3 linked regions of the Rattus norvegicus genome follow. The protein of the gene in region 2 interacts with the protein of the main gene of each other region in a biochemical or structural test. Links are inferred from orthologs where the notes say so. Each region holds a gene or a part of one and is shown on either strand. Other genes may lie near its edges.

The links. The genes of interacting proteins can lie anywhere in the genome.
Region 1: the proteins of Iqgap1 (region 2) and Braf form a complex in vitro, tested with the Homo sapiens proteins (2 studies listed by BioGRID and IntAct). The link is inferred for Rattus norvegicus from reciprocal best matches to the Homo sapiens genes IQGAP1 and BRAF.
Region 3: the proteins of Iqgap1 (region 2) and Cdc42 form a complex in vitro, tested with the Homo sapiens proteins (6 studies listed by BioGRID and IntAct). The link is inferred for Rattus norvegicus from reciprocal best matches to the Homo sapiens genes IQGAP1 and CDC42.

What each region holds. Positions count from the first base shown.
Region 1 is NC_086022.1:69,382,932-69,386,431, forward strand, and holds part of Braf (serine/threonine-protein kinase B-raf), read right to left. Parts: intron 1,459-3,500; coding exon 1,374-1,458; intron 678-1,373; coding exon 501-677; intron 1-500. UniProt on the Homo sapiens protein: Protein kinase involved in the transduction of mitogenic signals from the cell membrane to the nucleus. Phosphorylates MAP2K1, and thereby activates the MAP kinase signal transduction pathway. Phosphorylates PFKFB2.
Region 2 is NC_086019.1:144,098,954-144,102,453, reverse strand, and holds part of Iqgap1 (ras GTPase-activating-like protein IQGAP1), read left to right. Parts: coding exon 1-7; intron 8-1,066; coding exon 1,067-1,279; intron 1,280-1,874; coding exon 1,875-2,041; intron 2,042-3,500. UniProt on the Homo sapiens protein: Plays a crucial role in regulating the dynamics and assembly of the actin cytoskeleton.
Region 3 is NC_086023.1:154,849,012-154,852,511, forward strand, and holds part of Cdc42 (cell division control protein 42 homolog), read right to left. Parts: intron 2,339-3,500; coding exon 2,229-2,338; intron 2,126-2,228; coding exon 1,928-2,125; intron 1-1,927. UniProt on the Homo sapiens protein: Plasma membrane-associated small GTPase which cycles between an active GTP-bound and an inactive GDP-bound state. In active state binds to a variety of effector proteins to regulate cellular responses. Involved in epithelial cell polarization processes.

The DNA of each region.
Region 1 (3,500 bases), on a different chromosome or scaffold from region 2:
CTTTTGGGTTACAAAGTAAACTTCAGTAGATATACCTGTTTCAACTTAAAGTCCTCAACAAGAATTAAAATATAGATATTCATTTAAAACTTTATCAACTGGCCTTACGGTAGAAAATGTAGGCATGTAAAAGAAAATGATTTAAAAGCAACAAAAAATAGTCACACTTTAAAAATGATTAACAAATAACTATTAATGGCTCTGTTTTAGTAGGAGTGTGGCTTTTCTGGTTCCTAATTTTCTGTACTTCCACTGTTCACATAAACCACTGAGTGCTAATCATCATTTGCAATTATAAACTTCTCATCAAACACCTCACTTCTGTATACTTCAAAGGCTGAGCTAGAGAAACAGTGTTTTTAGTATGTGAGTGCTCTCTAGTAGTTAGTACCTTTGCACAGAAACCTAGTAAGCAGCCCATAGATGTATTATTAGGACCTTTAACGTATCCGTAAGTGGATTTCAAGAGCGCTGTGAAGATTTAACAGCATTGAACTTACTCCATGCCCTGTGCAGTCTGCCGTGCAATATCTATAAGTTTGATCATCTCAAATTTGGTCTCAATGATGTGGAGATGGTGATATAAGCTGGAGCCTTCACACCACTGTGTAACAATAGCCAGCTGTGGCTTTGTAGAATAGCCCATGAAAAGGAGGATGTTCACATGTCGAGTTTTCCTGGCAAAAAGAAATGTGACAATGTGTAACAGTTCTCTAAGGAGAGCTAAATCAATACAATGCTCTCAGGACAACGTACCAAAAACGAAGCAAGGCTGACCTATAATTATTGAGTCTAACCTCCAACTCTGTTCAGAAATATAGAAATTTATCGAGTGAAGAAGCAGAGGTCACTTTCATTTGTTAAAGTTGTTCCAAACTTATGAGGACGTTTTCTAAGTGGAAGTAAAATCATTTTCCTCTCACCGCCACAACTAGCTTCCCTGTTCTGTTCTGTCCTTCACAGTATCAGAGGAGCCATGCACCCTTGTGAATACAATAGCCTTCTCTGGATTAAAATATCGGTTTTGTTGAATATTCCCCTCACATAAAATTATAACTATAGAACCTTCCCTGTATAAGTTTTCTTATGGATTTACTCTCATTTTCTAATGTTCCTCAGGTCCTAGGGTCCAGGACTAAATATACTTTTAAATGTGCTTTGATATATTTAGAATTTTTAGAGTACTATTTTCCTAAAAGTAACTATTATACACAATCAGGCATTATTTTTTATTTCCATTAATTCAGTCTTGTCTTCTAGATGCAGGACCAAATTATACTGAGTATCAGGGAGACAATGTAAACATAAACTCCAAGTAGGCACATTATGTTTCTTTGAGTAAAGCCACTGAACGCGGTGATGCACACACTCACCTGAGTACTCCGACTTCGTTTTTGAAGGCCTGTAACTGCTGAGGTGTGGGTGCTGTCACATTCAGCATTTTCACTGCCACGTCGCCTGAAAGGAAATTGTTACTCCAAAATTTCAAATTGCAAAACATGAAATATTTATTCTTGTTTTTTTTTGCTAATTATTTTAAATCTGTATCATTATTAAACTGTAAATAAATTATATTTAACTATCTAGTAATAAACTACTTTTCTTCTTTTTAACACAGACTATGGGTACACACATCCTTGAATCTCACACAAAGCAACTAACAGTGATATTCCTATACTACTATTTGAAAATAATATGCTAAACAACCCACATGTCCCTCGACAGAGGAATGGATAAAAAAAGGTGGTACATTTACACTATGGAGTACTACTCAGATCTTAAAAACAATGACTTCATGAAATTCACAGGCAAATGTATGGAACTAGAAAATATCATCCTGAGTGAGGTAACCCAATCACAAAAGAACACTCATGATATATATACATATATATATATGTATATATATATACTCAATATACTCACTGATAAGCAGATATTAGCCAAAAATTGAGCTCAGAATACTCACGATACAACTCACAGACCATATGAAACCCAAGAAGAAGGAAGATCACACCAAGTGTGGATGCTACAGTCCTACTCAGAAGGGGGAAGAAAATAATCTCTGGAGGTAGAGTGAGAAAGGAATCTGGGAAAGGAGGGGAGGGAAAAAGGGGGGCTGGTTCAGATACTGGAGGAGATGGGGGACAAGTACAGAGGGTCAGGAATTTGAAAGGAGGCATGTAGCAGTAGGAGAGGGGGATCTGGGGGTAGCCACTACAAAGTCCCAGATGCCATGGACCCCAAAGGTTCCCAGGACCCAACAGAGAGGATTAGGAGAAATACCCAAAAAGGGGAGAGAGAACCTATAAAGACCACATCTAGTAGATAGGCATGGCCCCTGGGGCCACCCATCCACCTAAAAAATAATAATTCAGAATTCCTTCTGTCAAAAGGAAATACAGGGACAAAGTTTGAGCAGAGACTGAAGGAAAAGCCATCCAGAGACTGCCCCACCTAGGGATCCATCCCATCTACTGACACCAAACCTAGACACTATTGCTGATGCCAAGAAGTGCTTGCTGACAGGAGCCTGATACAGCTGTCTCCTGAGAGGCTCTGCCAGAGCCTGACCAATACAGATGCAGATACAGCAAACATCGAACTGAGCATGGGGACCCCAATAGGGAAGTAAGGGCAAGAACTGTAGAAGCTGAAGGTGTCTGCAATTTCATAGAAAGAAGAACAATATCAACCAACCAGACCCCCAAAGCTCCCAGGGACTAAACCATCAACCACAGAGTACACATGGAGGGACCCATGGCTCCAGCTGGATATGTAGCAGAGGATGGCCTTATCTGGCATCCTCTGGGGGGAGGGTAGCCCCTTGGTCCTGTGGAGGCTTGATGCCCCAGTGTAGGGGAATGCTAGGGCGTTGAGGCAAGAGTGGGTGGGCCAGTGGGGGAGCACTCTCAAAGAGGCAAGGGGTGGGAGAAGGGGAGAAGGGATTTGTGACGGGGAAACTAAGAAGGTGGATAATACTTGATATGCAAATAAATAAAATAACCAATAAAAATATGAAAAAAAAGGGAAAATATATGCTAGGGCTGGAGAGATGGCTCAGTGGTTAAGAGCACTGACTGCTCTTCCAGAGGTCCTGAGTTCGATTCCCAGCAACCACATGGTGGCTCACAACCATCTGTAATGAGATCTGATGCCCTTTCTGATGTGTCTGAAGACAGCTACAGTGCACTCTAAATAAATAAATAAATAAATAAATAAATAAATAAATAAATAAATAAATTTTAAAAAAAGAAGAAAAGAAAAAGAAAATATATGGTAAAATACAATGACCTTTGCTTCCTGGGAATACAGGTTAGGTAACTAAGTACTTGGGGAATTCTCCAAATGATTTAACAGTTCTGACTGAGGTGTTACTTACCAAGTGAGTGCTCAAAACCATGGACAACAGGTTCAATGCAACTTGGTTTAAAATAAAAACTTGCTACTTTTCCCCAAAAGTTATGGCTTATTTATGTGGACTGGAAAATTATTAAAATTAT
Region 2 (3,500 bases):
TGAACAGGTACAATTGAAGGTTTCACACTCGTCCTACACAGGAGAAGCTTTTCTGTGGTGATAAGTGCATGGGATGGGGTCAGTGGGACAGAGAAGGGCTTAGACCCTAGGGTGAGCAGGGGTCTCTCCTCGGGACAGTAGTAGTTAGGGCTCATTTGTCTGGGAAGTTGGTGACTTCTGAATCCAGATGGTGCCCTCAGGGCATGAAACCCCTTTCCCTTCAAACAGAAGAATAGGAAGGGAGAAGGAGAGGGAGAACGAACACAGGATGAACGAGAATTTAATCTGGGGCAGAATCAGTCCGTCTGGTAATTTAATGAGTGTCCTACTGTTGTAATTAGATGAAGTACCTTGGTGCAAGATGTGGTTCCAAACTTAAATTCCAATTAGGAAAAGGATGAGACATCTACCTGAAATCATAGGGCCATTAGAAATTAACCACAGTATTGATTATAAAAATGCCAGGAGTTGCTGGGTATGGTAGGCATGCCTTTGATCCCACCAAATATCTCTGTGAGTTGGAGGCCAACCTGGTCTACCTAGCTAGTTTCAGGCCAGCAGGGCCTACACAGTGAGGAGCTGTGTGTCTGTGTTTTTAAAAAGCAAGGGAGAGGTTAGGAAAGATGGCTGAGTCTGAGGAAGGGAGCTTGTTGCTATTCCAGTGTTTGTAGCTGCTTGGGAGCAGAGGGCAGCAAGAGCCTGCTCAGCTCAGGCGGCCTCTTGGGAGGAGCTCGCAACGGCATACTAGACACGGCTCTACATTGATTTATGTGGTTCTATTGAGCCTCATTTAGAATAAAGTGACAGGGGCTTCTGTAGCTCAGCATCTGCTCTCCTGACTATACCTAGTGTCAGGGAAGCTGGGCATCTGGATTCACAGATGCGCGTTCTAGATGGAATGAGCTATCTCCCCTTCGTGCTGTTCTCTGACTGGCACTCGGGAGAGGGAGGAAATGTGTGCAGCAGTCTGAGAATTGTATCCGAGTGCAAATGCGCTCTCTCTAAGTCTCGGGCTCCTGTGTGAACTGATGAGCACATATTGTGTTGATTTTCCCCCCATCTGCAGGAAGCTGAACATCAGAGGGCCATGCAGAGACGGGCTATCCGCGATGCCAAAACCCCTGACAAGATGAAAAAATCAAAGCCCATGAAGGAGGATAACAACCTCAGCCTCCAGGAGAAGAAAGAGAAGATCCAGACTGGCCTAAAGAAGCTAACGGAACTTGGGACGGTGGACCCAAAGAACAGATACCAGGAACTCATCAACGACATTGCTAAGGTACAGTGAGCAGTGGCGCTTGGCCTTATTTACAGATGCTTCGGGAGCGCTGAGGTACGGCCTCTGACTCTCACAGCAGGACTTCACTTCTGAGGTGGATATTTTTATGTGGTCTAAGTTAATGGGGTGCCAGCCTTCATTCACTAGAGTTTCTGGTGTCTGAGTTTCTCGTCACTCTTAAAGAATCCTCCAGACCGTTTGTTATGATTGCTGTGGGATATGTAAAGTTGGTAGTTGCATGATCAACTCGATTTGTTTGACTCACCCCAAGCCAGGGCTCAGGGTTCTACTGTGACTGAGGAACTTGGTTCTTTCTTTTACCTCCTCTCAGGGCAGTGTTTATGAGGTGTCCAGACCAGCTTTGCAAGTAAACCTAAGCACACAAAAATCAGGGCACATGCTTCCCCGTTGCTAGTGGATATAGGCCGATGAGATTGGAGTTTCTTTTAGGTTTCGAGCGCAGGCCGCCGCCTGGTAAGGTCGGCTGGCAGGTTTGAGCTCAGCGCAGACGCGCTGTAGTGGTCATGGACCATGGTGGTTCAGGAGGCACAGGCCGCCTGTCATCTTTTCCCTGATTGTCTTGGTTGTGCCTCAGGATATCCGGAATCAGCGGCGATACAGGCAGAGGAGGAAGGCTGAGCTGGTAAAGCTGCAGCAGACCTACTCGGCGCTGAACTCGAAGGCCACCTTTTACGGAGAGCAGGTGGATTACTACAAGAGCTACATCAAGACCTGCTTGGATAACTTGGCCAGCAAGGGCAAGTGAGTCTTCGTTTTCAGTCGTTCCAGGGCGGGAACCAGCGGGGTGGAGAGAAGAAGAAACAGCTTCTAGCATGACAAGAGAAGTGTTTTGATTTTTATTAAATTTCCTGTTGCTAATATGGGGAGGGAAGGGAGGGTGTGTGTGTGGGTGTCAAAGGACAATTCAAGAGTTTTTCCCTCTGTCTGCCATGGCTCCCAGGAACTGAACTCAGGTCTCCAGGCTCACTAGGGAAGTGCTTTACTGGCTAAGTCATATTGATGACTTGAGGTTGAATTTTTCTTTTCTTTCTTTTTTTCTTTTTTGAGATAGGATCTCACTGTCTCCCGATTGGTTGGGAACTCACTCTGTAGTCCAGGCTGGGCTCGAACTCAGATATCTGCCCGCCCCTGCTTCCCAGGTGCTGGGATTAAAGGTGTTGGTCACTGCTGCACCTGGCTGCCACTGAACTACAGCACCCAGGACCCACCTGCTGCATTACTTCTTGATTTTGCTTAGGATGTGTGCATAATGCCTGGCTCCGTTTGTTGTTGTGAGGACGTGGGGAGATGGGAGGAGCTTGGAGATGTTCATTGCTAAGCTCTTGTTCTCAAGTGTTAGTTCCGTCTAGGTGTTAGTGAATGGTGGAAGGGGGACGTCTAACTTGACTTCCAAATCTCCCCCTGAGCATGATGGTGCACACCTGAAGTTCCAGCATGTAGCAAGCCTGTCTCCAAACTGACCAACCTCGGAAAGATTTTATAGACCTCAGGCTCCCTGATGCCTGTGGGCAGGATCCTGGGCTGGTCACAAACCTGAGCCCGCCAGCCTTACACGGAAGAAATTGCAGACACCCAGCCTTTTCTGCTTAGAAATTTCAAAACTCAGAACGGTTGAAGAGCCCATGAGCCCTTTCCACAGAGTCACCAGAGTTTAAATTGAGCGTGCTGCACCCCTCCACTCTAGCTCAAGCATGCTCGTCCTCCCGGAGAGACGGGACTGCTGGAGAGGCCGAGTGCAGACTCCTGTACCCTTTAGAGTGTTCTGTCTGTCTTCTGTGCTCTCTGGCTTTCTGACACATATGTCAGGTTTAATTTGTAGTTTGCTCTGCTCAGGTCTAGAATGGTGATTTCACCAGGCCACCCTGACTTCATTTAGAAACCAAGATCTAGCTGTCCTCCTTGCCCCAGCTGACGTTTTTTTTAGGTCTTCTAGACAGATATAGTAGGTCTTCACTTTGAATGGCTGAATACTGTTTCATGAGACAGCTAGATAAGATGTTCTGTTAATCAGCGACCCATTGAGGAACGTTTGCTTAATCTTTAAAAACCAAACTAAAAAGCAAAACCGATGGTTGAAGTTGGAGAGATGGCACCGTGGTTAAAAGCACCGGCTGCTTTTCCAGACGACCCGGGTTCAATTCTCAGCACCCACTGGAGGCTCAGAGCTGTCTGTCACTGAAGCCCCAGGGAATCTGATGCC
Region 3 (3,500 bases), on a different chromosome or scaffold from region 2:
TCCCTCTCTTCCAGAGAGCTGGAGTTCCATTCCCAGCAACATTAAAGGTGGTTCCCAACTTCTGTAACCCCAGTAAGTGCAAGCTGTAAAGGTGTGAGGATGTGAATGATAATGTAATTTGTAGGGGTCTAAGAAAGTAATTTAAAGTGTACATGGGTTGGGGATTTAGCTCAGCGGTAGAGTGCTTGTTTATCAAGCGCAAGGCCCTGGGTTCAGTCCTGAGCTCCAAAAAAAAAAAGTGAAAAAAAGTGTACAGATGCAAATTAAAAAGTTCCGAGGAGGGGGCTGGAGAGATGGCTCAGCAGTTAAGAGCACCCGACTGCTCTTCCAGAGGTCCTGAGTTCAATTCCCAGCAACCACATGGTGGCTCACAACCATCTGTAAAGAGATCCGATGCCCTCTTCTGGTGTGTCTGAAGACAGCTACAGTGTACTCACATGAATAAAATAAATCTTTAAAAAAAAAAAGTTCCTAGGATATGAACACTTAACTAAGTTGGAGAGTCTATTAAAGTGATTTAAAGTGTGTAGATGTAATCTGGAAAGATATGAGGAAGTGATTTAAGGCATGTGAAAAGTGAGAAACGTTTCAGATTTCTTTCCTGCTCACTATGCTATTGTTATATTAAGACTTCAAAACTTCAAAGTTGTAACATTAAACAATGGAGCTCTGATAAACTATTGATCTAGCCCTGATAGAGCACTGACTACTCTAATAATAGGCACAGGCTCAAAATTTTTACTTTCTTTTGGTCTTCTAAATATACATTTAAACGTGTTTCTCACTGTGCTGAAAATATCTCTGGCTTACAGACACTGCTTTTTCTACAATGGGGACTTCACTGCAGATTACAAATAGCAGTAATGCCAATTATCTACAACTTTTACCTTTTTGTGAACTTTGTAAAATTCACATAAGCTTTAAGAAATTGACACTCAGATCCACCTGTCACAGGTCAAACAGGCTCCAAATTAAGTATTCCCGATAATCAACAGTTTCAGTGTTCCTGCCTATTACTGCCTATCTCTTTTCTCTTTTTTTTCCGGAGCTGGGGACCGAACCCAGGGCCTTGCGCTTGCTAGGCAAGTGCTCTACCACTGAGCTAAATCCCCAACCCCTACTGCCTATCTCTTGAGAGTAGACTCTCTCCTTCCCTGTTCTTAGACTCCCTTCACCATCATACCCACCCAACTACCAGGACCGCAGGCCTGGAAGTTTTAGGTGTAAACCCTAGATGAAGATTTTCCCCTAAGCTCCTCATCTTTACATTCTGTTCTTAGTCTGTATCTGTTCCCACCGATTTCCAATCAAGGGAAGAATGTAAACTGCTCCAAACATGCCAGCCTCAGGTGGTCCTTTACAATCAGCAAGCCCTGAACTTTCTGAGAGCCGATATAAACTGTCTGACTTGAGCACTTGCTTTGGCCCAGCATTCCAGACTGCTCACAGCACCCTAACCTCCCTTACCTCCCAGCCTTAACCAGGCATCCCAGTGTCCCTGAGCCCTTAATTTCAGCTAAGAAGTAGCTACATTGCCCCTATCACAAACGAAAGGCTGGAATGTCAGGGCCAAATTGTGACAGTCGGATAAAAGCCCTCGCTCCTCAGGAAACCATTTCCTTATTACTGGCAGAAGAGACAAACGGCTACCTTTGGTACTTATTAGCATAACCAAGTGCATCCTGGCCTCCAGGCTCTGTTCCACATTTCAGAGTCCATGCTGGTGTCCTAGCTCTCCTCACCCACTTCTTACCCTAAACTTCTCCAGCTCAGAAGCCCTACCCACCCCATCCCACCCCACTACACTCACACAGTATACATTCACAGACAAATTTTTAAGGGAAAAAATAATAAAAGGAGAAGAGCCTCTGTATCCTCATGCTCCAAACAACTGACTACACAGAGACATGGGTTGCAGAGCCCTTACCTGTGTGAGGGCGGAACACTCCACATACTTGACAGCCTTCAGATCCCGCGCCAGCTTTTCAGCAGTCTCTGGAGTAATAGGCTTCTGTTTGTTCTTGGCAAGTTTCTCAATAGTAGAAGGGTCATCTCTGAGATCAATTTGGGTCCCGACAAGCAAGAAAGGAGTCTTTGGACAGTGGTGAGTTATCTCAGGCACCCACTAAAAACAAGGTTTTAAAATGCTGTTAATCTACAAGCCACTGACACTATAAAAGGGTAACAGAAATTCTGTGCAGGTTTGAAGGAGGCAGGACCTGACTTACCTTTTCTTTCACATTTTCAAATGAGGATGGAGAGACCACTGAGAAACATACTAGAAAAACATCTGTCTGTGGATAACTTAACGGTCGTAGTCTGTCATAATCCTCTTGCCCTAAAGAAAAAGTTAAAGAGGTCAGCAACTGAAATCTGGTATCCTTGTGGCATTAAAATTATAGTCAAGGCCTACAGCTATAGCTCTTTAGTACATAGAGTGATAACCTAGCATGCATACAGCCCTGGATTCAATCCCCATACCACATTAAAACCAGGCATGGTTGGCACAAGCCTATAATCTCAGCACTAGTGAGACGCAGGCAGGAAGGTTAAGTGTAACCATGAGATCATATATCAAAAAAAAAAAAAAAAAAAAAAAAAAAATTAAAGACGAGCATAGTGGAGCTAGCAAGATCACTCAGTGGTAAGGATGGTGGCTGCCATGCCTAACAACCTGAACTCAGTCTCCAGGGAACAGATGGTGAAAGGAAAAAAACCAACTCTCCCAAATTTAGCTTCTTGACCTCCACATATGTATACTATGGCATGTGCTTCCACATAAATAAATAAATGTAATTTAAAAGGAAAAAGAATATGGAGATATGGGCGATGCCCATAAACCCAGCACACAGGAAGGAGAGGCAGGAGATCACCACAAGTCTGAGGTCAGCCTGGTCCACAAAGACAGCTCTGAGACAGCCAAAACTACATAGTAAGGTTCTTGTTTCAAAGAAGAAGGGGGGAGGAAAACTACAGCTCTGACAACACTTCGAGTGTGTAGCTCTTAGCATATGAGCCATTAGTGACAAAGCTACGGCTTAGTAACATACTGTTTGGACAACACTTTCTGTGCTAATTCTATTTATATATACCAATAACTTACAAAGGAAAACTGACATATTTTCTTTTTACTTTTTTTAGTTCTATAACTCAGTAATAATATAACAACAATAAACTATTGCCACAGGTGTGGTTTAAAAATATCATACCTACTTCTGGCTACATAATGATCACAGCAAGCCCACTAATAAGTACTGTACTGAAGGCATCCATAATAATGCCCAAGCCAAGCGCAAGGCTTGGTCCACACGTGCATGTTAAAGCCACTCTGTAACTGGAATGGCCTAGAAAAAATGAACTTGGAAGAATGAAAGGTATGTAAGAAGAATAAAATACTTAGAAATTAACCAAAGATAAGAGTCACAAAATAAAAACAGCGAAAAACTGCTGAACATAACAAGCCCCAAGAAATGGAAAGACAGCCTATGCTCATATGCAGG